Linked DNA regions of Canis lupus familiaris. The protein of the gene in region 6 interacts with the protein of the main gene of each other region in a biochemical or structural test. Links are inferred from orthologs where the notes say so. Each region holds a gene or a part of one and is shown on either strand. Other genes may lie near its edges.

Region 1 (4,041 bases), on a different chromosome or scaffold from region 6:
GGCTAAATGGATGACAAGGAAAGTCATTTAGCGTCTCTGGGTCCGTTTCCTTGTATGCAAAATGTAGATAATTAACCTACCTAATGGGGTTGCACGGAGGACTAGTGATAATGCACGTGAAACAGTAAAGCTCTTATTTTCATGTATTGGCAACAGTAAACTTTTTTTTTTAAGCTGTATGGAATCTGTCCAAGCTGACCAAGACATTTATTCTTCCTTTTTAAAATGCAGATGTCAGTATATTAACAGGGTAACTTGGGCCTCCAGCCGGCTCTCCTCTCAAAAATCTTGATAGGGCTTAAATCCTTAATTTTTTTAGTTCCATATATTTCTATTGGCACCGCCCCCCCCCCCCACAAACCCCATCCATAGTCTTGAGCAGAGAAAGCTTTTTTTTTTTTTTTTTTTTTTTTTTCTTAAACGTTTTCATCGACAATTAAAAGGGAAGGAAAGACCCTGAACGAGACTGAGGTCAAAGAACGTCGTGATAGGACGCGGGTCATCCCGCAGGTGCAGGGCGCCCGGGGCGGGGGCGGGGGCGGGGGCGCGAGCCACGTGGCGCCCGCGGGGGCCCGGCCCCTCCAGGCCGCCGGCGCCCTCGCTGCGGGGGATGCGCGGCGGCGCCCAGGTCCGCGGCGGCCGGTGAGTCAGCGCCGCGCCCGGGGCAGCCCCGCAGCCGGCGCGGCCCGGGGAGCTCGGGAGCTCGGGAGCTCGGCCGCTCACCGCCTCCCGGGTCCGCCGGGCCGGCGAGGTGACGTCACCGGGGCTGGGCGGTCTCGGCGGCTCCGCCAATGGGAGGCCGGCAAGGCGGCTCGCTGCCCCCGCTCCGGCCAATGGCGGCAAGGCAGAGCGGGGCCGTCGGCGTCGGGCCAATGGGCAGCGGGCAAGGAGCACGAGGCGGAGTCGCGAACCCGGCCGCCAATTGGGAGGAGGGGGCGGAGCCCGGGCCTTGTCAAGCGTGACCAACCAGAGAGAGGAGCGGACCCCAGGGGGCGGGGCCGCGGCGCGTCTCCCCAATCGGGCAAGGCCGGGGGCGGGGCGTTCTTCCGGGCGCCCAATGGGGAGCGCGGCCGGAGCGGGCCTGTCAAGAGCAGGGCCTGGGGGCGGGGGGATGGTGAGTCGGAGATAAACACTCGGCGGCGGTGGCGGCGGCGGCTCTTCCCCGGCTGCTGTCACGGTGTCGGCGGCGCCCAGCGCCCCGGGCCCCTCCCTCCCGGCGAGCGCGGTCGCCCGACAGGCTCTCCCCGCCCTGCTCCGCGGGGCCCGGCGGCGGCGGCGAGCCCGAGCGGTGGGGGTTGGTCCCGCGGCCGCGGCCCCCGGTGCAGAATGGCGGCGGCGGTTCGGATGAACATCCAGATGCTGCTGGAGGCGGCCGACTACCTGGAGCGGCGGGAGAGAGGTGCACGGGGCCGGGGGTCCGCGCCGGGCCGGGGCCGGGGGCTCTGCGGGGCACGGCCGCTGGGGGGGCGGAGGGCGCGACCGCGAGCGCCTCCAACCCTCCGGCTGCCCCACGCGCGGTGCGAGGGGAGGCCGCTCCGCCCGGGGGGGCGGGGGTGCGCGGGGTGCCCGGGGTGCTCGGGGTGCACGGGGTGCTCGGGGTGCACGGGGTGCTCGGGGTGCACGGGGTGCGCTAGGTGCACGGGGTGCTCGGGGTGCCGGGGGTGCGCGGGGTGCCCGGGGTGCTCGGGGTGCGCGGGGTGCCCGGGGTGCTCGGGGTGCCCGGGATGCCGCCCCGCGCAGGGCGCACCAACCTGCGGGACGTCCCCAGCGGGCAGCCCGGGCTCCGCGAGCTGAGCCTCAACAATGAGCAGCTCGCTCGCTCCTTGCACCTGCTCCGGACTGAGGGTGCTCACACAATTTAAGGGAGGAGTTTAAAAAAAAAAAAGAAATCCTTGTTCTAAGAATTCCACCTTGCATCGCTTATTTCTTGACACAGAAATTTCTTTTCATCACATGCTCGTGATGAAAAATAAGGTCTACAAGGAGCTCCTGTGCAGGGGGCTGGGGGGGGGGGGAGTGTTGAAGGTTCCAGGCTCATTCATTAACTGGGTCCTCCGGTTTTCTAGAAGCTGAACATGGTTATGCCTCCATGTTACCCTACAGTAACAAGGACAGAGATGCCTTAAAACGGAGGAACAAATCCAAGAAGAATAACAGCAGTAGCAGGTAATTTCGTAAATCTTTCTCTTTCTCTCTCGGATCACGATACAAACTGCAGAATGGAAGTGGCCTGTGGTGATTATGACCCAGGAAAATGCGTTAAGTGGCGATCAGGATTCAGGAAGGCGCACATGGTCCTAAGCCACTGGAGGAAGCAGCCCTTCTGTTTGGGTTGAGGGGACAGAAAGGAGAAATGGAAAAGCTTTGCGCTTCTTTATGAACTTTTTAAACTTAATTTTTGCTTTTCTTCCCTTTTGGAACAACGACAACAACAACAAAAATCTGTGGAAACTTCCAGTGAGATTGGTAACCGTGACAATATTTTGCCTACAGAAGTTGCAGATTCAGGGCAAGCTTTTTTTTTTTTTTTTTTTTTTTTTTTAAATAATCAAAGAGGCTGGACGTTATCCGTTTCTTTTACTTTTCATAGTGAAGATTGTACAGACACGTTAAAGTATCTGATTTAGCCTTAGGGGTAGGACTTCATATTCGACATGTAAATTAAATGCAATGGTTTATCTCCTCTGTTACATCTACTTATAATGGCAAAGAGGAATGATTGAGGTTGAAACCTCCCTTTTGGTGATGGAGGATTAATATTAAAATATTAATATGCCACGATCCTTTTACGTTTGGCTTATAGTTCTTAAAATCTGTGAATCTCACTGGAAAGCAGGTGGTTAAGGGTCCGTGAAATCACATTAAAGCCCTGAGTACCTATGAGTACTCTATAAATGAGAACTCAATAAACCTACCCCCTTTTTTCCCCCCTCTTTGCCCTTAAAATATAAGTTAGCTAGGAAACCTGTTAGGTCTCTTTACTTATACCTTTCATTCCAGTAAATTAAAGCCCCTCACATTTTCATCACTGGCTTACAATCCTTATTCCTCTCCCGCCGTCATGTATAACTCCCTGCAAGTAACTGTATTTGGTCACCCCCTGTGACGTCACACACACCACTAAAAGCCAGGAGGTCCCACTTAAACCTAAACCCACTTGTTCTTGCTGCTGCTGCTGTTGTCCTTGATTCATCCCATTGTCCTTAGTGTTGCTAGAACCACAGGATGTGAGCAGCACCCATGTGCTGGGCTCTTGCCGAGGAAGGAAGGCACGTGAGGGATGAACCTGGTAATTAACCACCCCACAGTTTTCTCTTTCCCTCCCATCTTCCGCGTTACCTGAAAGTGGTAGCGAATAGATCCGTGTGTGGGTATTAGGGCCTGACTTGTATCCTGCAGTGCTATAAAACAATTTAGCTGTGTTGCATCTTGTTAGTCTTTTTTTTTTTTTTTTTTTTAATTTTTGGAAGAATTTTGAAGCTTGTTGGCGTATTTTTTCCTGAGAAGGTAGCCCAACTGTTGCTTTTATTCCTGTCCGTTCATGGTTTAGGAGGAATTGTCCACCTTACTCGTCAAGGCTTAATCCTCAGCACTTTATTTTTTCCTAAGTTTCGCAGGAAAGTTGGGGGAGGTTCAGTGGTGGGGAGAGGAAGAGCAAAGGGTGTTGAGAGAGAGAAGTAGGCTGGTCCCCGAAGGTGATTAGGAAAGAAAAATAATGATAGCTGAGAATCGCAAGCCACGAAGCAGATTCTCTTTAATATCCAACGTTATTACGGAGAAAATAGCTGTGACTTCTGAGTTTGGGAAGAGCTCTCTTCTGTTAATGGGCTTGGTGTGCTTTCCACGGTTACAGACCAGAGGCTGTCACAGTTTCCCATATTCCTGACTAATAATGAATTAGCGTAGTACCTGCGTGGTGCCGGATCTCCGAGAGGCCGTGATTAAGCCTGGAGATGGCACCAAGCAAACGTGAAGCAAGAGCAGGTTGTTTTGTTTTACTGTGGTCACTTCCTTCATGCCCCGTTGGGAATGACCCTTACC
Region 2 (3,500 bases), on a different chromosome or scaffold from region 6:
GACAGCACCTATAGAGTATTGCCAACCACAGAAGGTGGTTGAAGGTCACTGTGCCTTGATTTCCAGGGATTTTATTGGGGATTGGTCACATAGCCATGGAATGGAGCTGCCTGTATGATTGACCTCAGTTACTCTGTCTCCAAGGCCCTCCAGAGGTCAAGTTAATTGCTTGATCCTTGCTGTGAGTCATGTTGTTAGCGTAGTCTGTCTGGCACAGCCCAAGTCTCCCAGGTAACCACAAAGACCTCTCATCAGGCAGGATATTCCAAGGGCTTAGAGATCTCACAGAAGCTGGTCAAGGACCCAACCCTTGTTAGGAATGTGCCTCATTTGAGCAACCTGGACCTGCTGAGTTAACCCTTTATTGTACTGCACACTTGTTCACTTGAGTCACTGAATTGTGTCTTACTTGGTTCAATTTAGGATTCCTTGTGATGTCTGCCATCTAGGAATGTGTAATTTGACACAAGGATCTAGTAGGGCTTCTGTTTGATTAATAAGAACTAACTGTGTTTATGTATTTTTTCTTACACGTTGTTCACATACTTTATGGAAGTAGGTTGGGTACGTACATCTGTGTATGTGTGAGTACATGTATAGTAACATATGTGTATACATACATAGTAAGTCAGTGCTCGTAATACTGGTAGTCAGCAGGCAGCTCAAAAGTATTTTTGTCCCATTGTGCATTCTTTCAGCAGAAACGTATTGAGCACCTGCTATGGGCCAGAGACTATGCCAGTTACTGGAGACATAAAGGATGAATGAGATGTGCTCCTTAACAGAGTTCAAAGACTAGCAGGGAGAACAAAAATCAGAGAACGGATACTAATGAGCTCCCACACATCAAGCATCTTGTGGATCAGATGCCAGCAGGCACTTTGATGGCCTCAACCACCCTCAAGGCTAGATGTATGCTTCCCTGTCACAGATTAATATCCAGGGAGTTATTGCCCCTTGCTGATGGGATCCCAACTGACTTGCAGCAGAGTGGGAATGTTATCACATCTCTTTTTTCCAGAGCAACATATTTTTGTAGTAATTCCTGCAGGTTCTTCAGAACAACTACCCATGTCTTGTGGTCTGTGGTGAGATTCAAAACGCTGCCTCACATAATAACCCATGCATGCTACTTGCTCAGGAGAAGCTGGGCAGGGCAGTAGCAGGCCCTCAGGAAGTGTGACTTTTATGGAGTTGATGAGGGGCAACTCTCAGCCCTCTTCTGGGCCAGGTACATCTTCTCAGACCCTTGTCTCCTCAGTGTCCAGAGGTGCGGCTCAACATTATCTCCAACCTGGACTGCGTGAATGAGGTAATTGGCATCCGGCAGCTGTCCCAGTCCCTGCTGCCTGCCATTGTGGAACTGGCTGAAGACGCCAAGTGGCGAGTGCGGCTGGCCATCATTGAGTACATGCCCCTGCTGGCTGGACAGCTGGTGAGTAAGGTGGCATGGGACCAAGCACCATTGTGTGCAGTGTGTCTAGGGCTATGACAGTGTCCCTGGGGCCCGTGAGGGCTATCTGAGGAGAAGGAGGAAGAGGCATGGGAAATGGGGCTTATAAGGTGAGTAGACTTTAGTTAGAAAAAGAGAAGGGAAAGGAGCTCCCCAGGTGAAGCTGAGAAGTGTCCGATGTGTTTGGGTGGGTGTTTCCCTAGGGTATCATTGGAAACTTGATTCCTTAACCTTTTTTTCTCCTGCAGGGGGTAGAATTCTTTGATGAGAAGCTCAACTCCTTGTGCATGGCCTGGCTTGTGGATCACGGTTAGTCTCTCTAGTGGGACAAAGGAGGATATTGGTATTCCAGGAAGGCTGGATGGGCATTGGCTGGGGCTGACGGGTGTGGAGTCACTTTCCCAGGCTATCTGCTGCTGTGTGGACTTATTCCCTTGCTTTTAGAATCCTAGGGAAGTGCAGGATGGGAGGGGGACAGAGCAGATCACATAGAGGTGGCCTGGTCCAGTGGAGAGAGGGTGCGAGGGCTACTGGGTGGATGACCTGGGCTGGAATCCTATCCCTGGCTATGGAATCTCAAGCACACTCCTTTGTGAAATAGGGGGCTTCTCAGTCTTTCAGGGCCATTGTGAGAAGTGCTAATGAGCAGTTTTCAGTGACAGGTAAAAATTAAGGTTAACATTTGTCTGTATCGGAACAATTCCAAGTATTAATTACGGAATGATTTGCTTGAGCAAATCACTTCTCAGAGCTGCGGTTTACCCATCTCTAAAGGAGGCCAATAGTGAAACCTATGTCTTAGAGTCATTGGGAGGTACTGTACAAAAAGAAACCCTATCTTTAGCACGCAGCAAACCCTTTGGTTCACCTGTAGCCCAGTACCTAGGTGACTGCTACTCCCTGCCTGCTTATTCCTTTACCTCCTGAATCCCTGCCCTTTTGCAGTGTATGCCATCCGTGAGGCAGCCACCAGCAACCTGAAGAAGCTGGTGGAGAAATTTGGGAAGGAGTGGGCCCATGCCACTATCATCCCTAAGGTCTTGGCCATGTCCGGGGACCCCAACTACCTGCACCGCATGACTACGCTCTTCTGCATCAATGTGAGCGCCCCCGCCTGACCTCTGGCCTGTGCCCAGGGACCTGGGAGTATGTAGGGGAGGAGGGATGGCAAGAGTCTTTAGGAAGATATCTGGCTTAGGAGCACAGACATGGTGAGGTTTGGGTGGGGCAAGGATGATTCCCTGGGGGAACAACAGGCCAGAGGGTGGGGACCTGTATGGTGAGAAACCCAGGACTGGGGATACTTGGCCTGCTGAACAGTGACTGTCTATACCCTTCCGAGCATCCCTCTCCTCCACAAAGTGTATTTGTATATTTGTTTATGATAGTTGGTTATGTGTACAGGTTCTACAATCAGAGCTACTCTTTAATTCTACCTCTGCCATGTTTTAGTCATGGACCTTGGGATGCTTTTTAACTGCTCAGTGCTTTAGTTTAGAATCCTAGGGAAGTGCAGGATGGGAGGGGGACAGAGCACTCATGCTGGTAATTGCAGTACCTTACTCACGAAGTGGTGAAGATTAATCTGGCTATATGTGCAAAGGTTTTAGAGCAGTTATGTTAATAGGAGCAAGGGCTCCTTTTTATCCGTTTAAGTAAATCATATAGATAACTAGAAATTAAAAGATAGAATTTTAAAATATTAATAGAACTTAGTGTTCTGATTTCTTCCCATATCCCACTTTGGAGAGCATCGCGCTAAGGAAAGCATCCCCGAGGGTTAGGAATCAAGCATCCCCAGAGGATAAAAGGAATTCTGAGGATGGAGAAATGAGACCAGGACAGTCTGGGCTGGGGGTTTCCAGAATAGGGAGACAGTGGTATTAGGGCATTAGGAGGGTATTAGTGGAGATGGTAGCTTTGGAAGAATCAGCTGTCCCCAGGGTGGGTGAACCTGTGCCCAGAGTTCCCCATATTGCTCAGCATCACCCTCAGGCCTGATAATCACTGAGGTGGCCTGGTGAGAGGAGGGGGAAATGGAAATTAG
Region 3 (3,039 bases), on a different chromosome or scaffold from region 6:
ATACATGAGAAGTGCTGCGCCTACGTTCGCCTTGGCGTCTTCCCAGAGCTCCCGCCTCCCCCAGAACAGCAGAGCCTCCTAGGTTCAGAGGGAGCTAACCACTGCTCCCCGCTAGCAGAGGCACCCAGGTCGGGGTGGGGGCGGGGGCGGGGGCGGGGGCGCGGCTCCCGGCCCCTCCGCGAGCGCCAAAGGCCGCCCAGCCTCCCCGCAGCGCCGGAGCCGGGGGGGGGGGGGGGGGGGGGGGAGAGCGCAGCGGGGGGGGGGCGGGCGGGGAGAGCGCAGCTGGGGGCGCAGAGCTCCCACGGCCAGCCTCCGCCCCCCGCGGCCCGCACCCCCGGCTCGGCGAGCGCGGGGAAGACGAGCTCGCCACCGGGCCACCTAGGAGGTCATCTGATCCTGCCCCCTCCGTCTCCCCGCGCGCGGAGCGGGCGCGCCAGGCAGCGCAGCGCGGGGACCTGAACCCGCGGCCCCGCCGCCCCCGCCCCCGCCCTCCCCGGCTTCCCGGCCGGTTGGCTAGTTTGTTTGTCTCGTTTTTAATTTCTCCGAGGCCAGCCGGAGCAGGTTTGCTGGCAGCCGCGCACCTCCGGAGTCACGCGACCAGCCAGGCTCCGGGCGGCGCAGTCGGAGGCGGGCGCGCGCCCGGGGAGGCGGGGCGGGGCGGGGCGGGGCGGGGCGGGGCGGGGCGAGCGGGAGGCGTCGCGGCCGCCGGGGCCACCTTAAGGCCGCGCTCGCCAGCCTCGGCGGGGCGGCTCCCGGCGCCGCAACCAATGGATCTCCTCCTCTGTTTAAATAGACTTGCGGTGTCAATCATTTTCTTCTTCGTCAGCCTCCCTTCCACCGCCATATTGGGCAACTAAAAAAAAGGGGGCTCGTCCTTTCGGGGTGTTTTTCTCCCCTTCCCCTGTCCCCACTGCCTCGCCGCTCCGCGACGCCGACGTCCGCAAGGTTTGGAGAGCCGCTCGGTTGGCGGGACCCGCGGGCTCGCGGCAGCCCGGGCTTGGACTGGCTCTGCCGCCCCTCCCCTCCCCTCCTCTGCCCTCCTCTGCTCGCCTCTGCTCGCCTCTGCTCTGCTCTCCTCTCCTCTCCCCTCCCCGCCCCGCCCTCCCGCTCGCCGGTCCGCTAGAGCGGCGGCGGCTCTCGGCTGCCGGGCCGGGGCTTCCCCTCACCCCTCACCCCTGCCCCTCCCGCCTCCCGCCTCCCCCGGGCCAGCGCGCCCCTGACGCTCGGGCAGTTACTTGCGCGTGTTTGTTTCTCTTGGCTCCGAGCGCGATCGCAGGGCTTTCTAGGGGGCGGTTCGGGCTGGGTCGGGGCGTTTTGTTTTGTTCAGTTTTGTTTTCCGAGAGAGGGAGAGAGCGCGCGCGCTCGCGGCGGTCGTGAAGACCGGGGAGGAGGATGTCAAACGTGCGAGTGTCTAACGGGAGCCCGAGCCTCGAGCGGATGGACGCCAGACAGGCCGAGTACCCCAAGCCCTCCGCCTGCAGGAACCTCTTCGGCCCGGTCAACCACGAAGAGTTGACCCGGGACTTGGAGAAGCACTGCAGAGACATGGAAGAGGCGAGCCAGCGCAAGTGGAATTTTGATTTCCAGAATCACAAGCCCCTGGAGGGCAAATACGAGTGGCAGGAGGTGGAGAAGGGCAGCTTGCCCGAGTTCTACTACAGACCCCCGCGGCCACCCAAAGGCGCCTGCAAGGTGCCGGCGCAGGAGAGCCAGGACGTCAGCGGGACCCGCCAGGCGGGGCCTTTACTGGGGTCTCAGGCCAACTCAGAGGACACACACTTGGTAGACCAAAAGACTGATGCGCCCGACAGCCAGACGGGGCTAGCGGAGCAGTGCACTGGGATCAGGAAGCGACCCGCGACCGACGGTAACGACCCCTCCCCAAGCAGAGAAGGTCTGGGTGCCCAGGACCCTAACCGCAGCTTGCTTTTCCAGAGTATTCCGATGTAGTGGAGGTGGGTGGGGGGAGCGAACTGCCCTCCTCTTGGGTTTTAAATGCTTGTCCGCCTGGCTGCCTGGCTGCTTATGATTTTTAAGTCAGGAGCCTGTTTTTAAGTCAGTGAGATGCTGTTATCTGATCATTGCTCCAACCGAAAACATCGCAGTTCCTCCCGGCTGGCCAGCGCTGGGTCTGTGACTACGTTGGGATGTTTATCAACGGCCTCCCTCTTTGCAGTGGGGAGAGAGAGAGAGAGAGAGAGAGACAGCGAGACAGCTCTAGGGGCATAGAATACACTTTCTGTTATGTGAAAACAACCTCATTCTGTGCCCTTAAAGGCCACCGGGAATGACGGATCCAGGATGGTGGGTGGAGGTGTGGGTTTTTCATCCCCTGACTATTGTGCCAACTTGTGTCAGCCATTGTTTTTCTAATAAAGATTGTGTGTGTTCTTTTTAAAATTCCCTCCTGCCCTTAGATTCCTCTCCTCAAAACAAAAGAGCCAACAGAACAGAAGAAAACGTCTCAGACGGTTCCCCGAACGCGGGTTCAGTGGAGCAGACGCCCAAGAAGCCGGGCCTCAGAAGACGTCAAACGTAAACTGCTCGGTGGGTTGATGACTAGGAGCAAGAAACTGACACTCCGAAATGGGCTTTCACACCCCGAGATACCCAATCTTGGTGGTTGCTGGCAGAATGGAGCTTGTGGGTTTTTGTTTCTATTTTGTGAGGTGGAAAAGTAGGAATGGGGAAGGCTGGGAATCGCTGGTGGGGATCCTGTAATTTTTTTCACACTGTCTACGTCCTGAGGTCATTTTTCCTTGAAAACACGGAATAACCAGAGCAAGTGTCCTAGCCAAAGTACTTGTGACCGAGGCTGGATGATGAGTGGGAAGGTCAATTCCCTGTGAATCCCACCAAAACCGTTGGGAACAATAGGTTCTTTCCCCCCATCTGAGCAAGAACTGGGATATGCTTCAGTCCCACTTCATAAGAATTCTTTTCCCAGAGGTTTCAAGTTGAGTCAGTAACAGATTTTGAGCCATACATGGGAAGAAGGCAAATAAATGATAAAAGTTAAAATTTGAGGGAAAGGGTGCA
Region 4 (4,079 bases), on a different chromosome or scaffold from region 6:
ACACCAAGGCTCCGTGTTCCCCGTGACAGGTGGGCCTGGGGGGCCAGCGTGAACCCCCTATGGCCACGTAATTTCTGTACAAATCCACCATCTGGGGCAGAGTGCGGGCACGCGGAGGCTATTTCTTGGCTTTGGCGGAGTTGCGGGGTGGGGTGATGGGCCGGCCTCCAGGGTTCAAGCCACTGAATTGCCCGTATTTCCCCTTGTTCTTGTCAGCGGGCTTGAGTATCTAAAAAAGACAAGAGCTGGTCAAACTCATGGGCTAAGCCACAGGGTCACCAGCCCCCCTCCTTCCCCCATCCCAACCTGGAAGGAGCACATGAGTGTCTCATCCACACTCATCATGGCGCCTGCATTGTCAAACTCGCCACAGTAGTTGGGAGCCGAGAAGAGAGTCACCAGCTGCCGCTTGGCAAAGAATTCATAGCCATCTTCTACCACCTGGATGAGGATGGGGGCAGTTTGTTCAGCAGGTGCTGGCTACCCAGGCCCCACTCCCACCCGCCCCAGAGCTGCCAGCCCACCTGGTGTGCCCGGCAGATGAGGTCCAAGTCGTGCTTGTGCAGGAATTTGGCCACTACCTCAGCCCCAAAGGTAAAGGAGACACCACGGTCATTCTCGCCCCAGCCCTGCACGTCCTTGTCAGGGTCAGACCACAGCAGGTCGCACAGCAGGCCCTGGTCCGGCACGTCTGTAGGCCGCATGATACGCCGAATCTGCTCCATGGACTGCAGGTCTGGGGACAGGCCTGGGGGAGGGCAGGTTACTTGCTTAAGCCTCAAAACAAAGAGTGACATGCAAACCAAGACCACTGGGAGAGGTCTTCCAGGTGACGGGGAAGACATCCTCCAGCTAACAGCCTCATCCCAGGGCTCCCCGGGATGTGGCCCAGGGCTCTTCCTTCCCAAAGAACCCTTCAACATGTACCCTAGAGCCACTCTCACCTCCATGGCAGCAGAAGATCTTCTCATCCACGATGGCAGCAATGGGCAGGCAGTTGAAGCAGTCAGTAAAGGTCTTCCACAGTTTAATATTGTAGCGTCTCTTGCCTGCTGGGAGGAAGGAGATGCCTCATGAGGCCTATCTGCCCCACAGCCAGCCTGGGTCTTGAGGCCCTCCAGACACAGCTGGGAGAAGAGAATGGCAGACAAGAAGAGAATCCCCCCTCCCCCGACTCCGCTGCCTACCAGCCTTCCAGGAATTCTAAAGCAGCTAGGTCCAGAGGAACCTGAGTTCCAATCCGAAACAACCCACCCGCACCCAGTGAGCAGGGCCAGGCCAAGACTAGGCCTGGTTTATCTCAGCTTCTGGTTGGTAGGATCCAGTCCAAATAGGCATCCCAAGTGCCTAATGGATGTCCTGGAGGGGAGTGTCATGAGGCAGGGCCCTGCATTAGAACATGGGCAGTCCTCAGCAGTCACTCCCCAGACCCCTCCTGCGTGCCGGCCCCACGGCAGGAGGGCAGGCAGAGAGGCACCAACTGGTGTGCACCCTTCGCAGAGCTCGCGGTCTGTGGGTAGTGGTCAGACACCAATTCCCCTACTGCCAGGCCTATGTGAGGGTCTCCCCGAAAAGGGAAGTCACTTAAGGACTTGGGCTACTCACACTCATCGTAGAAGCCATAGATGCGGTTGATGCTAGCACACTCATGGTTCCCACGGAGCAGGAAGAAGTTTTCGGGGTACTTGATCTTATAGGCCAGCAGCAAGCAGATGGTTTCCAAAGACTGCTTGCCCCGGTCCACGTAGTCCCCCAGGAAGAGGTAGTTGCTCTCTGGAGGGAAGCCACCATACTCGAAGAGCCGCAGAAGGTCGTAGTACTGGCCATGGATGTCACCTGTAACCCAGGGAACCGGTTCAGCGCTAGGTGCAGGGGCTACACTTGAACCCAGGGCCAAGTTCGGGCTCCAGGGAGCAGCAATGCAAGGACTGGGCGGGGTGAAGTGGGGATTCCACTTTCAGAAAGCCAAAGGGATCTGGGCAGCAGACTCACCGCAGATCTTGAGGGGTGCCTCCAGCTCCAAAAGAATGGGCTGGCTCAGGAAAATCTCCCGTGATTTGAGGCACAGACCACGGATCTCGTTCTCTGTTAGCTGTACATTCTTTCCAGGCCGCGAGCCCTGCACTGTGGGAGGAATGGGGTGTCAAGACTCTGGTCCCTCAGGCAGGAGGAAGGTGGGCGACACAAGTGGCCCTATGGGCACATCTGAGGGCGCCTGGGCCTCCTAGGCCCCTCCCTGCCTAGGGGCAGCTGTTGCTGGTGAGCCTCCCAGGACCTCCGCCTCTGGCCTCCCAGGATGGGACCCCCTCGAGGGGGTGTGCTGTGCGCGGGGGCCTGCCACCCAACACCCCACCCATAGCGCAGGACCCCTGGGAGGGGTGGAGCTAGGCTTCTTAGGTTTCTCCCTCACTCCCAATAGCGCAGGCCAACCCGTGCGCCCCCCGCCCAGGAGGGGGGCTGCTCCCCGTGCCAGAGCGTCCCCGGAACCCCCCTCCCCCGGCGCGCCGCGACTCGGGGGGCGGCTGTGGCCACGGGACCTTGCGGCCCGTCCCCGCCCAGTCTAAGCTGGCCCGGGGAGGGGCAGGCCCGCCCGCGCACCACTTCCGGGCCAGGGCGCGGCGGGCACCGACCTCCCCGGCCCCGGCCAACCTTCCAGCAGGCGCCCGATGATGGAGTCCAGGTTGAGCTTCTCACTGTCGGACATGGCGGCGCCGCCGCTCCGCCCCAGCAGCTCCGGGCCCGCTCCTGCCGCCCTCCCTCCCGCCCGCTGCCTCCTTCCGGCCTGGCGCTCCTTCCGCCCGCCCCGGCCCGCCCCGGCCTGCCGCCCCGCCTCCCCGGCCCGCCGCCCCGCCCTGCGCGCTGCCCCCGCGCTCTAGCGCTCCCGCCGGACACCGCGCGCAGCGGCCGCGGCGGCCCGGGGGGCGGGGCATAGGGGACGGGGCGGGGCTCGGGCTGAGCTCGGCCGTCGGGACGGAGCCCGGCCGGTGGGTGGAGCTCGGAGGGCGGGGTCGAGTCTGGTCCCGCCCCCGAGGAGTTACCCGAGTCCAGTTCCGAGAATATGGGGCCGGAAGTGCTGTGGGAGTTGTTTGTCTCTGTCAGACGCTAACCCACCCCCTGGGCGGGAGCGTGGTATGAGCACATTAATAACCGATGCTCCAGACACTGCGGATCAAGTCCTCGAAGTGCAGAAAAGGAAACGGAGACTCAAGAGATAGCAGGGGGGTGGGTTGGTCCAAAACCCTGGCCTCACATTCACGGGGGGCCTCCACCTCCTGAGTCTCTGCGGCCCTCAAGGCAGCTGGCCAGACCCAGGCACCTGCCGCGGCGCTCTGAACCCATCTTGGTCCACGCTGTGCTGCACGCTGAACTAATTTTTGTAAGTTCCGTTATTGCCTGCTGAGTGCATAATAACGCTGCGTTAGGTATATATTCAAAGCATTACTTGTAAAGAGCAAATATTAAATAAACGAGAATTCTCACTGGAATCTTGAATTGTTTTAACCTCAAAACTGGAGGGGCCTGGCCTCTGTAACTCGGGTGGGTCCTGGACTGGTCACACCCTGCTCTGGAGCCCAAGCCTGCAGCCACCCAGCCCATGGGGAGGGTGGGAGGAGCCCACGGTCCTGGGGGCACTGGGGCAGGCCGGAAGAGCCTCAGAGAGGAAGAGGTGACCCCCCCACACACTTGGGAGGGGAGTGTGGGAGGGGCCCCCCAGCCGGTGGCTGAAGCTGCTGAGAAGGAGGAAGTGAGAGGAGGAGGTGAGGTGCAGCAGGGAGGTAAGCTGGCCTGGGGGGGCAGGGGCTGGGCCTGGGGACCAGCCTCTACACAGAGGTCTGGCTTTTCTGCCATTTCAAGGCTCACTCTCACCCTCACCCTCCCACCCCGATAAAAGAGGGGACAGAGGGGGCTTGGTGAGATGCCCTGAAGTCTGTGCCCTCTGAACCCTGCAGCCAGGTCCCCGGGCTGGGGACCGGCTGGATGGGAGCTCAGGCCCCAGGCTGGTCAGAAGCTGCCTCTCACACTGGCTTTCCCCACATCTTGCAGCCTGTGGTAGCTTGGGTCTGGGGCACCATGGCCCA
Region 5 (4,150 bases), on a different chromosome or scaffold from region 6:
GGTTCTCCCCATCCCAGCCCCAGGGCTTGTTATTGGTTTGTTCATTTAGTGATGAGCTGGAATGTTTTAGTGAAATCTATCTCCTTCACATAGTGTTAAGGCCTATGATGTTTTCTTCAGAGAGGCACAAATTCAGTTATGGCCACAGTCATCCTTGGGTGTCAGTGGTTTTAATAGGGCTCTTTCTCATCCCCCTAATCACACCCAGCTGTTAAACTCCATTAATTGTGTTTTAGTCTTCTATTATTTTCATCCATGCCCTGGAGCATAACTTGCTCTACAAAGTAATCCAATCAAGGGTGGCTCTTTGGGGGGTAAAGTTTTTCAATCCCATGAAGGGCTCTTCCCAGCTGTTTTAGTTCTCTGATTCTCTACTGCAAACTAGCTGGCCTACCTTCTAGGCTGGATCTTCATTAAATCCATAACCTCCGGGATCCCTGGGTGGCGCAGCGGTTTAGCGCCTGCCTTTGGCTCAGGGCACGATCCTGGAGACCCAGGATCGAATTCCACGTCAGGCTCCCTGCATGGAGCCTGCTTCTCCCTCTGCCTATGTCTCTGCCTCTCTCTCTCTGTGATGACTATCATATATAAATAAAATTTTTTTAAAAAATCCATAATCTCCTCCCAATTGCCCTTCATCAAATCCTCCACTGTTTTAAGAGTTCCTTTAGGGATACACTTCTCCACATTTTGTTGCAAATGAAGTAACTGCCTTTGGGAAGAGAGCAGGAACTACAGGTTTTAAAGCCGCCTTCTCCCTCCAGGTAAAATCTCTGAGTCCTTGGCGGAAGAGGAAGGATTGGGGGAACACACAAGCCTGAAGTTTTCTCAGTTTGCCTTCTCTGGCATGGAACCACCATTGCACAAGCTGGGCCTGGGCCAGGAGTAACCGGGGCCCCAGTAGTCTCAGCATGCCATGCACAAGGCACAGCTCCCATTCTGTGAATAGGAGCTGGATAGAAGAAGTAAGCCCCATCTTTCAACTATACACATCTGGTACTTAGTCTCAGCAACAAGTAAGCTTATGCAGAATAAGAAACACTGAAATCCTGTTCCTCCTGGGAAAAAAGTGGTCTGACAGGGAGCTAGGGAAGAGGGAGCCCTGTGTTCTGGGTTACAGCAGTCTGGAGTGGAATCTCTACTCTGCTGAATTGGAAGTGGGGAGGGAGGTAGTAGCCTTGGTTCAAATACCATAGACTCTCGCCTTAGCAAATTTTCATAGATTTTCTCAAATAGCCCTTTATTCATTTGATGAATGTTTGCCCTTAGGACCATTTCCAGAAGGTTTAAATAGTTGAGTTTTTTGAAGTAATTTTTCCTAGTCCTCCAAGGGAGGTCAATGAAGCTACTCACACTGTCATACTAGAAGTGAATCATCAGGCTGTTTTTGTGCTATAATAGTAGAGCTGAAGGACTAAGTAGTTGTAACAGAGATCCTATGGCCTGCAAAGCTGAAAATATTTACTACGTGGCCCTTTACAGAAAAAGTTTGTCAACCCCTGACTTAGGTCACTTCTGTCAGTGCTGCTGGTTTCACAGACTACACTTTGGACTAGCAAGGACTTAAATTACATGAGAAGCAGTACTATTTTGGCTAAAAGCTGGACTTAAAATCCCACTTTGCCACAAACTAGATACATAGTTTGGGGTGCCTACCTCATTGGGTTGTTGTGAGAATTAAATGTATTAATGTCTGACTCTTACAACACATTCAACAAATGATAACTGGTATCATCATGGTGTAAACTGCATGAAAAATATTAGACATCAACTCTCATCTGAAATAGTTCACTTCCAGAAAATGGAAGCTTTTGGAAAAAAGGAAGTAAGTATAGATTTTCCAAAACACAAGACGCAACTTTTAATACCTGGGGCACATAAAAATATCTAATGAAGTAAAACAAACAAACAAACAAACAAACAAAAAAAAAACCATAGAGCTGGAACTTAAGCCTGACACTGAAAACCAGAATTTGGCCTTCCACGGACGCTTCCAGTAACAATGAATGAAAACCTGAATGAAGTGCTTCCAAACCCAAAAGCCCTAAGAAAAAAAAGAAAAAGAAAAAAAAAAAAAGCAGCAATTATCTTTAACATGAGGATTTGGGCCTAGATGGCTCCTTCTGGTTCTGGCTGGCTCCGTCTATGCTCAGAGATGATACGAGCTGGATCCCTCAAGCTTCCACCTTGACTGTCACCGCGGCAGGGGCGCCCCAGCTGGTGCCCGACCCACAGCGGGGCCGGGCGAGCGGGGATCCCGCCGGATTCCGCCCGGCGCCCGCTTGCCACAGCCCGTCGGGGTTGCCAGTCGGTTACCTCGCAATTGAACTCCATCTCGGCGTCCATGGTGACGATCCGCACGGTGAACGTCTTGGGCTGCTTCCTCTTGAGCGAGCTGAAGCTCATACGGGAAGCGATGGCCCCGGCCATGGCGCGGGGCTCAGGCCCGGGACCCTCGCGCCCCGAGGCCTGCGCTCTGGACCTGTTAGCCCCCCTGGAGGAGCCGCACAGGCCTCAGGGCCACCATGGTAGCCGACTGGCCCGCCTGGGAGCTGGCTGGTCCGCGCGGGCCCCCAGCGGCCAGCATGGGCCGTGAGGACCCTGCCCCGGGAGCGTAAAGAGGAGTTGGGGGGCGGACCCTTACGGCCACGGGGACGGAACACGAGCCAAGACCAAGCGGATGGGCTCTGCCCGGCGCTCAGGGTCTCGGGCCGGGGACGCTGGGGACGCCCCGGGACTGGGCCCCTAGACGGCAGCGGCCCAGCCCCCGCGCGCCTCGAAGCGGCCGACGGAGGTCTCGGGGCCGCGCTGCGGCCGGGCGCGCACGTGCGCGCGTGGCTGTCACCGTCCTCGCTCCGCGCGCCCGCGGGAAGCGTCCCCTCCCCACAGACCCCGGCCTGCTCCCCGCCCCGCCCTCAGGTCCCCAGATCATTACACGCAGCGCAACCGAACCCGGCGGCTGCCGCCCGGACACCGCGATTGGCTGAGAACCCCAGGGAGGCGGGACTTTTCCTGCCAGTCCACCCTACTTCAGAGGGACTCCACCAATCGGAAGTTCCGCCGTGATTGGAGGCGCGGGCCTGGGCTCGGCGTTGAGTGGCCAGAGTGGCAGTCACTCCGAACGCTTTTGTTCGCAGGGAGTACGCCTACTCTAGCAAGATTGGTTGAGGCAGCGGAGCCCGGCGCGCCTTCCACGGGCAACCACCTAGAGGCTGGCACGCGGCTGCGGGTGGGTCAGCGGGCGCCTGCCCTTCGGACTGAGTACGCGTGCAGTGTGGTACCCCAGAGGGCGCGTGTCGGACACCCGGCGGAAAGCCCTCCTCGGCCCTTAATGGCATATGCTGACCTCTGTGTTTCTCTAAACTTTTCAAGTCACGTGGAAGCTGCTTAGCTTGCTGGCACTCCCCCAGATCGTTCTGCTTCTCCCCGGGAGAAAGTGTGTTATTACCAAGGAAGGGTGATGATTGTACCTACCCCGTGGGGTTGTTGAGGAATTTAAGGACGTTAATACATAGAAAGCTTTAGAACGGTGGCTGCTGGCATATACTAGGTGGAATCCTATGAAATTGCTGTTTTTCATGAGAGACTCCTAACTCTGGGAACTGAACAAGGGGTAGTGGAAGGGGAGGTGGGAGGGGGGTTGGGGTGACTGGGTGACGGGCCCCGAGGAGGGCACTTGGCGGGATGAGCACTGGGTGTTATGCTAAATGTTGGCAAATTGAACTCCAATAAAAAAATTTTTTTTTAATTGCTGTTTTTATACATACACACAGAACAGTCCAAAAAATGAAAGCGTTTCTCATTTTGTATTCTGATTTCCACTTTCAAACCATAGCTGTGTTTTATTTATTTTTTAAATGTCATCAAGTTATAGTGGGTGTGTTGTGAGGTGGGGGTGTATATAGCTTTCTGTATTAAAAATATAAATCCTACTTTTAAGTAACTCTTAATAAGGGACACCTGGGTGGCTCAGTGGTTGAGCGTCTGCCTTTGGTTCAGGCTGTGATCCTGGGGTCCTGGAATTGAGTCCTCCATCAGGATCCCCTCAGGGAGCCTGCTTCTCCCTCTGCATAGGTCTCCCCCCTCTGTGTGTGTGCGTGTGTGTCTCGTGAATACATAAAGAAAATCTTTTTTAAAAAAATAACTCTTA
Region 6 (3,954 bases):
TCCCCCGGGCGGAACTCTGACCCTGGATAAGGAACCGAAGTGGCCCTCTCCCCCACAGAACACACGCTCCTGGAGCGTAACTCGCGGAGTTTTCCTTTCACAAAAGGATCGCTAAGACTTGGAGGCCTCAGGGGTGGGGGGAGGGGCAGCTGTTGGAGAAATCTCTGGCTCTAGCCGAGTGCAGGGCCCGGGGAGGGGTCATCTGCAGTGTCCTCCCGCCTCGCCCGCGCCTCGCTGCCCACCCCTGCCCGGTGGACTGTGGGAGGCCGGGGCCCCACTGGGTGGCGGGCAGGGGCCTGGGCTGCCCTCTGACAGCCCTTCTCTGGGTGTCTGTCCCAGCCCAGGACAGGCACCGCCCGCCAGGTGTGCGCTGGAAGCCGCCACAGTCCCTGGGGCCCGCTTGTCCCGCTGTCACCGTGGGAAGCCCCCCATCTGCTCCTGTAGAGCTGTCGGTGTCTTGCTTCGGGGCCACGGGCAGCTCTGGGAAGGCGCGGCCAGGGATGGAGGGTCGTGCCCAGGGCAAGGTGGCTCTGCAGCCCGGGGGCCTGGGACCCCTCCCTCCGCAGCCCCCGTGTCCCGGGCGCGCATTGCAGCCGGGGTCCCAGGCCCCATGGGGGGGCCGGGTCGTGCCTCGGGCCTTTGAGGGTCACCTCGGCTGCGCCCCCCCCCCCGGGCATCCTCCCCCCGCGCACGGGGGCAGGAGCCCCGGGAAGGCCCCACCGGCCGCGGCGGAACCGGGCCGCGCCGGGAAACTGAGGCCGGGCAGCACGCGGCCGCGGGGAGCCTGGGCCGCCGCCTGCCGCCTGCCGCGCGCTCCCGGCGCCGCGCCCTCGCCCCGGCCGCGCCGGGGGCGCCCCGGGCGGCGGAGGCGGATGTGGGCGGGCGGCCGGGCGGGGCGGCGCGGGGCGGGGAGAGGGCGGGCCGGCGGCGGCGGCGGAGGCGGAGGCGGCGGCGGCGGGACGAGCGCGGCGGGCGGGCGGGCGGGCGGCCCAGCGCAGCCAGCGCAGCAGCGCAGCCGGGGGACGCGAGCCGGCGGCCGCCACGAGCACCGGGCCCGGCGGCGCGGAGCCCCGCCCGCCCAGCGCCCGCCCGCCGCGGCCTCCAGCCCGGCCCCGCCCGGCGGGCGCGCGGGGATGCGGAGCGGCGGGCGCCGGAGGCCGCGGCCCGGCTAGGCCCGCGCTCGGCCCGGAGGCGCCCGGTGAGTGCCCCGCCCGCGCCCCGGCCCGACTTCCTCCCGCGGGCGCTTTGTTGGCGGCGGCGGCCCGGGCGCGGCGGGGGCGGGGAGCGGAGCAGGAAGTGGCCGAGCGCGGCCTGGGCGGGGAGGGCGCGGGCCGGGCCGGGCCGGGCCGGGGCGGCGGGCGGCGGGCGGCGGGGTGCGGGGTGCGCCCGGCCTCCCTCCTGACCTTGGAGGCGGCGGCCGCGGGGCGCGGGGCGCTCGCGGGGTGCGGCGGCCGCGGCGAGTTTGCGGGGGGCCCCGCGGCGGAGCCCTCCGCGGCCGCGAGACGGAAAGTTGTACGTGATGGCGAGGTGCCCGGCGGCCTTTGTGGGCCGCGCCCGCTGCGGGCCTGCAGCCTGCGCCTGAGCGGTGGGCCCGGGGGCGCCGCCCACCCGGCCGGGGGTTCCTGCGCGCTGTCGGGGGGCGGGGGCCCGGGTGTGCCCCGAGCCCGGTGCAACGGGAGGGCGGGGGCGCCTGGCGGGCCTGGGTCCCCTGCCCTGCGCGAGCTGAGCCCGCGGCCCCACGGCGGCCTTTGGAGGCAGAGGAAGGGGCCCTGTGAGCGCAGGCAGCGCCTCCTGAGCCATCCCCTAAATAATAACGACGCTAGCAGCCCTCGGGGTGGAGGCCCTGGGGTCCGGAAGCCGTGGGAAACGGGGACCCCGTCCCTGCGGCCGTGCGCCCCGAGTGCGCCCCGAGGCTGCCGCGCTGGCCTGCTGCGTGCGTTTCTCTGCAGATGCACACCAGCCTGTGTGTGTGCACAGATATATTTTTACACGCGGGGCTCGACAGCTGTCTGACTCTGTCAGCCGCGGCCCCACGTAGGCCAGGGTGGGGGCGGGGGACATCCAGAGGTCTCCGAGGCCAGCCCTCTGCCTCCAGGCCACGCCCACTTGTGTCCCCAGAGGGGCCCCGGCCTGCCCCGGGGCTCGGGGCTCGGAGCCCTGTCCTTGGAGGTCTTGCTCCCCGCGCTCGGCTGCCGGTGGCCTGCGGGGCCCGTTGGGCACTTTCTCCCTGGGCAAAGTGTGTTCCCTGGCCTGGCGGTACACACAGCCAGCGGGGGCTTCTCGCTCTTCTAAATTTAGCCTAAGACCGTAGGTTCAGAGCAGCCTCCCCTGGGTCCTCACCCTGCCCCAGGAGGCCGGTAAGGTGCGTGGCCAGAGGGTGCCTAGGCAGCTGTAGGAAGAGCCGAGCTGGGCTCGCTGCGGAGGTCCCCTGGCGTCCTGGGCCCGAGGTCCCCGAGTCGAGAGGCTCCCGGGCTGCCCTCGGCAGTGCTCGCGTGGAGGGCTCGCAGAGGACTGCGCCCAGGAAGAGTGCTCTCTCCCAGGACGCACAGAGTGGGTGAAGGTGTGAACTGGGTTTTGAGGGATGCCTAGGAGTTCATCCAGCAGGGAGCGACGGGGAGGGCCCCTCAGGTTCAATGGCCAGAGTGTCTGCTCCAGGGAAGGCTGCTGGTGGGCCAGGGCGGGTGCCAGGGCCTCTGCATTTGTCTAGAGCACCCCCCCATTTGTTGCCTCCTGAATGCTGTAATTATGGGTCTGTGACCAGCCTGGACTGGGTGCTTCTCAGATGGGACCATGTGAACCTCTCTTTGTCCCCGGGGCCGAGCCTGGCGAAACCAGAGATGCCTGGTCCGTGCTGGCCGGATGAATGAACCAGATTCAGACCGGCAGGGGTGCTGTGGTTTAGGAGGGGCTTGGGGTTTCTTGGGGGGAGGTATTTTATGTCACCCTGGAGGGCTCCGGGCTCTCATTTGCGCCAGCCGCCTGGTCTCCTGGCCCTACTTTGTTCTGTTTGAATTTCTCCTCTTTCCTAGTCTGGGGCGAGAAGGAGGAACCCCGGCCTGTGGGCAGGGAGCTCAGGGGCACTCACCAGGGCCCTGGAGAGGCCAAGCAGCATAGACCAGAGCAGTCAGAGGGGCTGCCTGGAGGAGGTGGCAGGTTAGGGAGGCTGGGATATACCCGGAGGGCCTCTGGGGTGGGGAATGGTCTGTGGCCAGGCGGGGGGAAGTGGGAATGTAGGAGGGCCAGCAGACCCTGGGGACCTGGGGGTCAGAGAGGGGTGGCAGGGGGATTGCAGCCTCGGCCCCAGGGAGCAGGGCTGGTAACCTGGACTCTGTCGGGGGCCGTGGTGGGAGCCATGGGGAGTGGCTGTGGCTCAGGGCTGTGAGGGGGTGGGAGGACCCCGCAGGGGATCCTGGGTGCGCAGGGCCTCCTGGCCTCACCGTGGGGCTGGAGGGGTGGACACAACCTCACACGCTGCCCCTTGATTTTTCCAGAGGCTGGGTACGCCGGCTGGCCTCGGGGAGACCCTGCTGAGAGGGGCCAGCGAGGGGCGCTGGGGTGGCCCCGGCCCGCTGGAGCAGGGCGCCATGAACGACGTGGCCATCGTGAAGGAGGGTTGGCTGCACAAGAGAGGTCAGTGCCCGCGGGGCTTGGGGCTGGGGCAGGGGTCCCGGGGCCGGCTCCCCTCGGGTGGCCGGGCTGGCGTAGTGGCCGCCTGGCCGGGTCCCTAGGGCGGGAGAGCCACCGCCACCTCCCTGCCCGCTTTCCTGGAAGGCAGGGAGGCCACTGGGGCGCGTCCAAGGCCTGGCTCGCTGGCGGCCCGGGGCACTGCCCGAGGGCTCCTGAGGCCAGGGCTGAGGTGCTGCGCCTGGCCTGCTGCCCGCCTCGGGCCTGGGCTGGGGGGGCTCCGCACCACCCCGGGGCCCGGCACGGGGCGTGCATGTGCTGGAGCAGCGA
Region 7 (3,955 bases), on a different chromosome or scaffold from region 6:
GGATATGTGGAGTATTTGTTGGTGACTTCAATGTTGTGTGATGTTGCCCTGGGGCCTCCTCCCTCCCCTTTTTCTTTTTGCCAAGGTGCATTTTTGAGAGGCTTTCTAGGCCATCTCTTAGGAGAGAGATCATATTGCACAACCCGGGTCTTTCTTTCCCCTTCACGGTGTCTTCCTCCAACCATTCTGTCAGGAGACACAAGGCCAACAGCGAGCTCCTGTTCTGTGCCAGTCCTCTTAGCTCATGGAAACCTCCCTTCAGTTCTTTAAAAAAAAAAAAAAAATTTTTTTCATTTTTGAAATATAGAAATCTGAAATATTGAAATTTGAAATATTGAAATATAGACGACACACACACACACACACACACAATCACTTCCCTGCAGTTCTTGAGGAAGATAGTTATTCCCATTTTACAGATAATAGAGGTAACAACTAACATTCTTACTAGGTGTTTACGTCGGGCACTGTGCTAAATGCTTTACAAGTATCGTCCCATTCGATTCTCACAGGAATACTCTAAAATCGGAACTACTGGGGAACCCTGGGTGGCTTAGCGGTTTGGCACCTGCCTTTGGTCCAGGGTGTGATCCTGGAGTCCCGGGATCAAGTCCCACATCAGGCTCCAGGCATGGAGCCTGCTTCTCCCTCTGCCTGTGTCTCTGCCTCTCTCTCAATCTCTCAGTCTGTGTCTCTCATGAATAAATAAATAAAATATTTAAAAAAAAAATAAATAAAATCGGAACTACTGTCCGGATGACACAACCGACAGCCAGGACAGGGGTCTTTCCGAGGCTACACAAGGTGCGGTTGGCATTTGAACCCAAGTCTTCGTGACCTAGAGGCGGAGCTGTCTCATCACTCATTTCTGGATGGGTTGAGGGCTTCTTTCCATGCAGAACCAAGGAAATGTGAGCGCGAACCCCAATGCTGATCCCTATCCGACGCGAATCCACGGATCAGCGCGTCCCGCCGCATCCCCAGCTCGCAAGCTCCGACCCCGGCCTCACACCGACCGCAGAAGGGCCGCGCATGCGTACCACCACGTCCCGCTCGGCCCCGCCCCCCGGGAGGGCTCCTCTCCGAGCCGTCGGCTCTGGGGCTTGCGCACTGCGCACTACGTCCCCAGCTCCGGCTTCTTCCCGGTCGGGGACTTCCGGTGCGCGGGGTGCGGTTCCGGGTCGTGGCGCGACTTGGGGCAACAGGGTTGCTGCTCCGGCGGCGGCGTTGGTGGCGGCGGCGGCGAGCGACGGGGGCATGAGGGCGAGCCAGAAAAACGGCAGTTGAACCGGCGGGGAGGAGCGCCAGTCCCCGAGGATTCCGAGAGTGCGGAGGCCGGGGCAGGGACCGGGAGGCGCGGGGAAGCCGGGCCCTTCCCTCAGGAACGTATCCCCGGGCCGATCCGACCCGTAGTGTGGCAGCAGCTTCAGGTAAAGGTTGCCCCAGCCGCTAGCTTCCTCGCTCACTCTCGGGTCAACCTACCCGAGGAGCCAAGCGGCCCTTCTGGGCGCTGCCCTGCGTCGGTAGCCTGCCTGGCCCTTGATCAGGGCTTCATTGAGCATCCGTTTCCTGATCTTTTCCAGAACTGGAGGCTGCTGTGAGCCTGACAGCTTGGGTGTCTGATTGGGGGAGGAGAAGCCCGTGGACTGGGTAGTGTTGGGTGGGGGGGAGGGTTGGCTCTGACAGTTTCTGGTCCTACCACCTGGCAACATGTAGTTGTCCTAATCTTCGTAACATGAAAATTGTGTTTAAAGCATTGTCTCTGTGGTCCCTGTTTCCTTAGCGTTCCTTTTCCACAATTGTCCCAAAGGAGTAAGCGGCCTCGCAACACTTTTTTTTTTTTTTTTATTTTTTATTTCTAGCTGGAGTGCTGCTGGAACTTGGATTCAGCTTTTTATGAGAATGGCAAAGGGGTCTTCTAAATCTGGTTAAGGCTAAACGAACAAACAAAAAACAAAAAAGTAGTTTAAACAAGATTATTACTTTTAACTGGAGACTCAAAAGTTGACTCAGAAATTGGTTGAGATTTTATTTGGAATGAATGCACCTAATTTTTGAAGCCTGTTCCATACAGTACTTGGCACGGTGCGAAGCATCATGTTTTAAACCAAAACCATCGAAGTTCAAAGCTTCCCAGATGTGAACAAATGGAGACAGGTCTTAACACATGGCAGTTCAAACAAAGTCAACATTCTCATTCTATGTCTCACAAGTAAAAGGGGTGGATTGTTCATTTAAAATCCTAGTATAACAGGAAAAGTTGGCACCATGTTTTATTCCTCATTCGGTGAGCCCATACAAGGTGCTTAGTCAATGCTGAAAGAATTCTTGATGAACATTGATTATTGTGTTCATCTTTTTCAGTTTACACACTTGCTGGGGCCTGCGAGGCATGCTTGTGGCCCCTTTGTCATTTAGCTTTATGCTCATATCTACTTTCAATCACTGTGGTGCCAGGCTACTCACATTCTACGCCTCTTGATGTGGCTCCAGCTATGCTTGAAAAAGTCCCCTTCCTTAATTCTATACCCTGATCCTTTACTCTAGATAAGTAGCACCTCAGATCCCATTTGTTTTCTCTTTGTCCATTGTTTTTTTGTAGGACATTCTCCTTGCCTAGATTTCTCCTTTTGTTTCTACTCATTGAGATGTTACCTAGGGCCCAGCAGAAATTGGTCTCCCTCCACCAATTTGAGACAACCCCAGTTGGGAAAGATTTCTTTTTTGGAATCCTATAAATACTCATATCTATAATAATTTCACTTAGCAAACATTTACTGAACACATACACATGCACCAGGTACCATGCTAGACAATGTATGGATAAGTAAGACTCAGTCCTTGCCTGTGGGGAGCTCAATTTAGTGAGAGAGATAAGGAAATAATTTCAAGACAGTGATAAGTACACTGTGTGAAGGTACTTTCTGTGATGCAGTGATAGCATGGGGGTGAGGGGGGGTATTAACTTTCGAGGAGTGTGCTATGATCAGGTAATGCTTCATGATGTGGTTATTTACCATGTGCTGAAACTATATTTAGGTTTCTCTTAATCATTTTAGCCTCAATTTACAGATTAGGAAGATTCGGGATAAATTACACATTTGGTACGAGACAGGCAGGATTTAACCCCACGTCTGTCCCATGCCTACATCTGTGCATTTTTCATTATGTGTTTCCTTCTTTCACACACCATAACACTATATACAAGTATATATTGAAGAAACTATAAAAGAGAAAAAATATGAATGCCAAAATGAATGTTACAGAGAGTCTTTTATTTTATTATTATTATTATTATTTATTATTTTTAAAGATTTTTTATTTTATTCATGAGAGACAGAGAGAGAGAGAGAGAGAGGTGGAGACACAGGCAGAGAGAGAAGCAGGCTCCGTGCAGGGAGCCTGATGTGGGACTCGATCCCAGATCTCCAGAATCAGGCCCTGGGCTGAAGGCAGCGCTAAACTGCTGAGCCACCAGGGCTTCCCGAGAGTCTTTTTTTTTTTTTTTTTTAATAAAGATTTTTATTTATTTATTCATGATAGATATATATATAGAGAGAGGCAGAGAGACACAGGCAGAGGGAGAGGCAGGCTCCATGCAGGGACCTGACATGGGTCTCGATCCCGGGTCTCCAGGACTGTGCCCTGGGCCAAAGGCAGGCGCTAAACCACTGAGCCATCCAGGGATCCCCCCTCCCCCAGAAGAGTCTTTTAAATGTAGAGAAAACTGTGATCTTTCAAGGCGAGAAGGTAGTAGGTGGGTCAGTTCAACTTTCAATATAAGAATGGAAGACCTTCTATAGAGAATAACGTGGTCTCTGGATTTAATTCCTGTCCCTACTCTTATTCCTTGACCTTTGGCAAGTTTCTTAATTCCAGTCATTATTTTCTTCAAGTATGGGTTGGTATAGGGGGATAATATTGATCTCATGGAGTGTTGTGAATATTTAATGAG

Evidence for each region.
Region 1: of the proteins of AKT1 (region 6) and MXD1, one has a biochemical effect on the other in vitro, tested with the Homo sapiens proteins (2 studies listed by BioGRID, with this or other methods). The link is inferred for Canis lupus familiaris from reciprocal best matches to the Homo sapiens genes AKT1 and MXD1.
Region 2: the proteins of AKT1 (region 6) and PPP2R1A form a complex in vitro, tested with the Homo sapiens proteins (2 studies listed by BioGRID and IntAct, with this or other methods). The link is inferred for Canis lupus familiaris from reciprocal best matches to the Homo sapiens genes AKT1 and PPP2R1A.
Region 3: of the proteins of AKT1 (region 6) and CDKN1B, one has a biochemical effect on the other in vitro, tested with the Homo sapiens proteins (2 studies listed by BioGRID). The link is inferred for Canis lupus familiaris from reciprocal best matches to the Homo sapiens genes AKT1 and CDKN1B.
Region 4: of the proteins of AKT1 (region 6) and PPP1CA, one has a biochemical effect on the other in vitro, tested with the Homo sapiens proteins (3 studies listed by BioGRID and IntAct, with this or other methods). The link is inferred for Canis lupus familiaris from reciprocal best matches to the Homo sapiens genes AKT1 and PPP1CA.
Region 5: the proteins of AKT1 (region 6) and NF2 form a complex in vitro, tested with the Homo sapiens proteins (2 studies listed by BioGRID, with this or other methods). The link is inferred for Canis lupus familiaris from reciprocal best matches to the Homo sapiens genes AKT1 and NF2.
Region 7: of the proteins of AKT1 (region 6) and MAPKAP1, one has a biochemical effect on the other in vitro, tested with the Homo sapiens proteins (3 studies listed by BioGRID, with this or other methods). The link is inferred for Canis lupus familiaris from reciprocal best matches to the Homo sapiens genes AKT1 and MAPKAP1.

Annotation. Positions count from the first base shown.
Region 1 is NC_049231.1:69,850,522-69,854,562, forward strand, and holds the start of MXD1 (max dimerization protein 1), read left to right. Parts: upstream 1-1,241; 5' UTR 1,242-1,326; coding exon 1,327-1,399; intron 1,400-2,066; coding exon 2,067-2,166; intron 2,167-4,041. UniProt on the Homo sapiens protein: Component of a transcriptional repressor complex together with MAX. In complex with MAX binds to the core DNA sequence 5'-CAC[GA]TG-3'. Antagonizes MYC transcriptional activity by competing with MYC for MAX binding.
Region 2 is NC_049222.1:105,602,393-105,605,892, reverse strand, and holds part of PPP2R1A (serine/threonine-protein phosphatase 2A 65 kDa regulatory subunit A alpha isoform), read left to right. Parts: intron 1-1,261; coding exon 1,262-1,435; intron 1,436-1,701; coding exon 1,702-1,762; intron 1,763-2,398; coding exon 2,399-2,553; intron 2,554-3,500. UniProt on the Homo sapiens protein: The PR65 subunit of protein phosphatase 2A serves as a scaffolding molecule to coordinate the assembly of the catalytic subunit and a variable regulatory B subunit.
Region 3 is NC_049248.1:12,564,997-12,568,035, forward strand, and holds CDKN1B (cyclin-dependent kinase inhibitor 1B), read left to right. Parts: upstream 1-1,392; coding exon 1,393-1,867; intron 1,868-2,417; coding exon 2,418-2,539; downstream 2,540-3,039. UniProt on the Homo sapiens protein: Important regulator of cell cycle progression. Inhibits the kinase activity of CDK2 bound to cyclin A, but has little inhibitory activity on CDK2 bound to SPDYA. Involved in G1 arrest. Potent inhibitor of cyclin E- and cyclin A-CDK2 complexes.
Region 4 is NC_049239.1:50,565,326-50,569,404, reverse strand, and holds the start of PPP1CA (serine/threonine-protein phosphatase PP1-alpha catalytic subunit), read right to left. Parts: upstream 2,801-4,079; 5' UTR 2,705-2,800; coding exon 2,650-2,704; intron 2,125-2,649; coding exon 1,993-2,124; intron 1,837-1,992; coding exon 1,606-1,836; intron 1,050-1,605; coding exon 945-1,049; intron 749-944; coding exon 525-748; intron 442-524; coding exon 307-441; intron 230-306; coding exon 119-229; 3' UTR 1-118. Other genes in the region: TBC1D10C (carabin), read left to right, coding at 3,979-4,079. UniProt on the Homo sapiens protein: Protein phosphatase that associates with over 200 regulatory proteins to form highly specific holoenzymes which dephosphorylate hundreds of biological targets.
Region 5 is NC_049247.1:23,221,827-23,225,976, reverse strand, and holds the start of NF2 (merlin), read right to left. Parts: upstream 2,801-4,150; 5' UTR 2,431-2,800; coding exon 2,317-2,430; intron 1-2,316. UniProt on the Homo sapiens protein: Probable regulator of the Hippo/SWH (Sav/Wts/Hpo) signaling pathway, a signaling pathway that plays a pivotal role in tumor suppression by restricting proliferation and promoting apoptosis.
Region 6 is NC_049229.1:72,734,917-72,738,870, reverse strand, and holds the start of AKT1 (RAC-alpha serine/threonine-protein kinase), read left to right. Parts: upstream 1-1,154; 5' UTR 1,155-1,198; intron 1,199-2,541; exon of another isoform or gene 2,542-2,560; intron 2,561-3,029; exon of another isoform or gene 3,030-3,153; intron 3,154-3,491; 5' UTR 3,492-3,584; coding exon 3,585-3,630; intron 3,631-3,954. UniProt on the Homo sapiens protein: AKT1 is one of 3 closely related serine/threonine-protein kinases (AKT1, AKT2 and AKT3) called the AKT kinase, and which regulate many processes including metabolism, proliferation, cell survival, growth and angiogenesis.
Region 7 is NC_049230.1:57,532,008-57,535,962, forward strand, and holds the start of MAPKAP1 (target of rapamycin complex 2 subunit MAPKAP1), read left to right. Parts: upstream 1-1,155; 5' UTR 1,156-1,430; intron 1,431-3,955. UniProt on the Homo sapiens protein: Component of the mechanistic target of rapamycin complex 2 (mTORC2), which transduces signals from growth factors to pathways involved in proliferation, cytoskeletal organization, lipogenesis and anabolic output.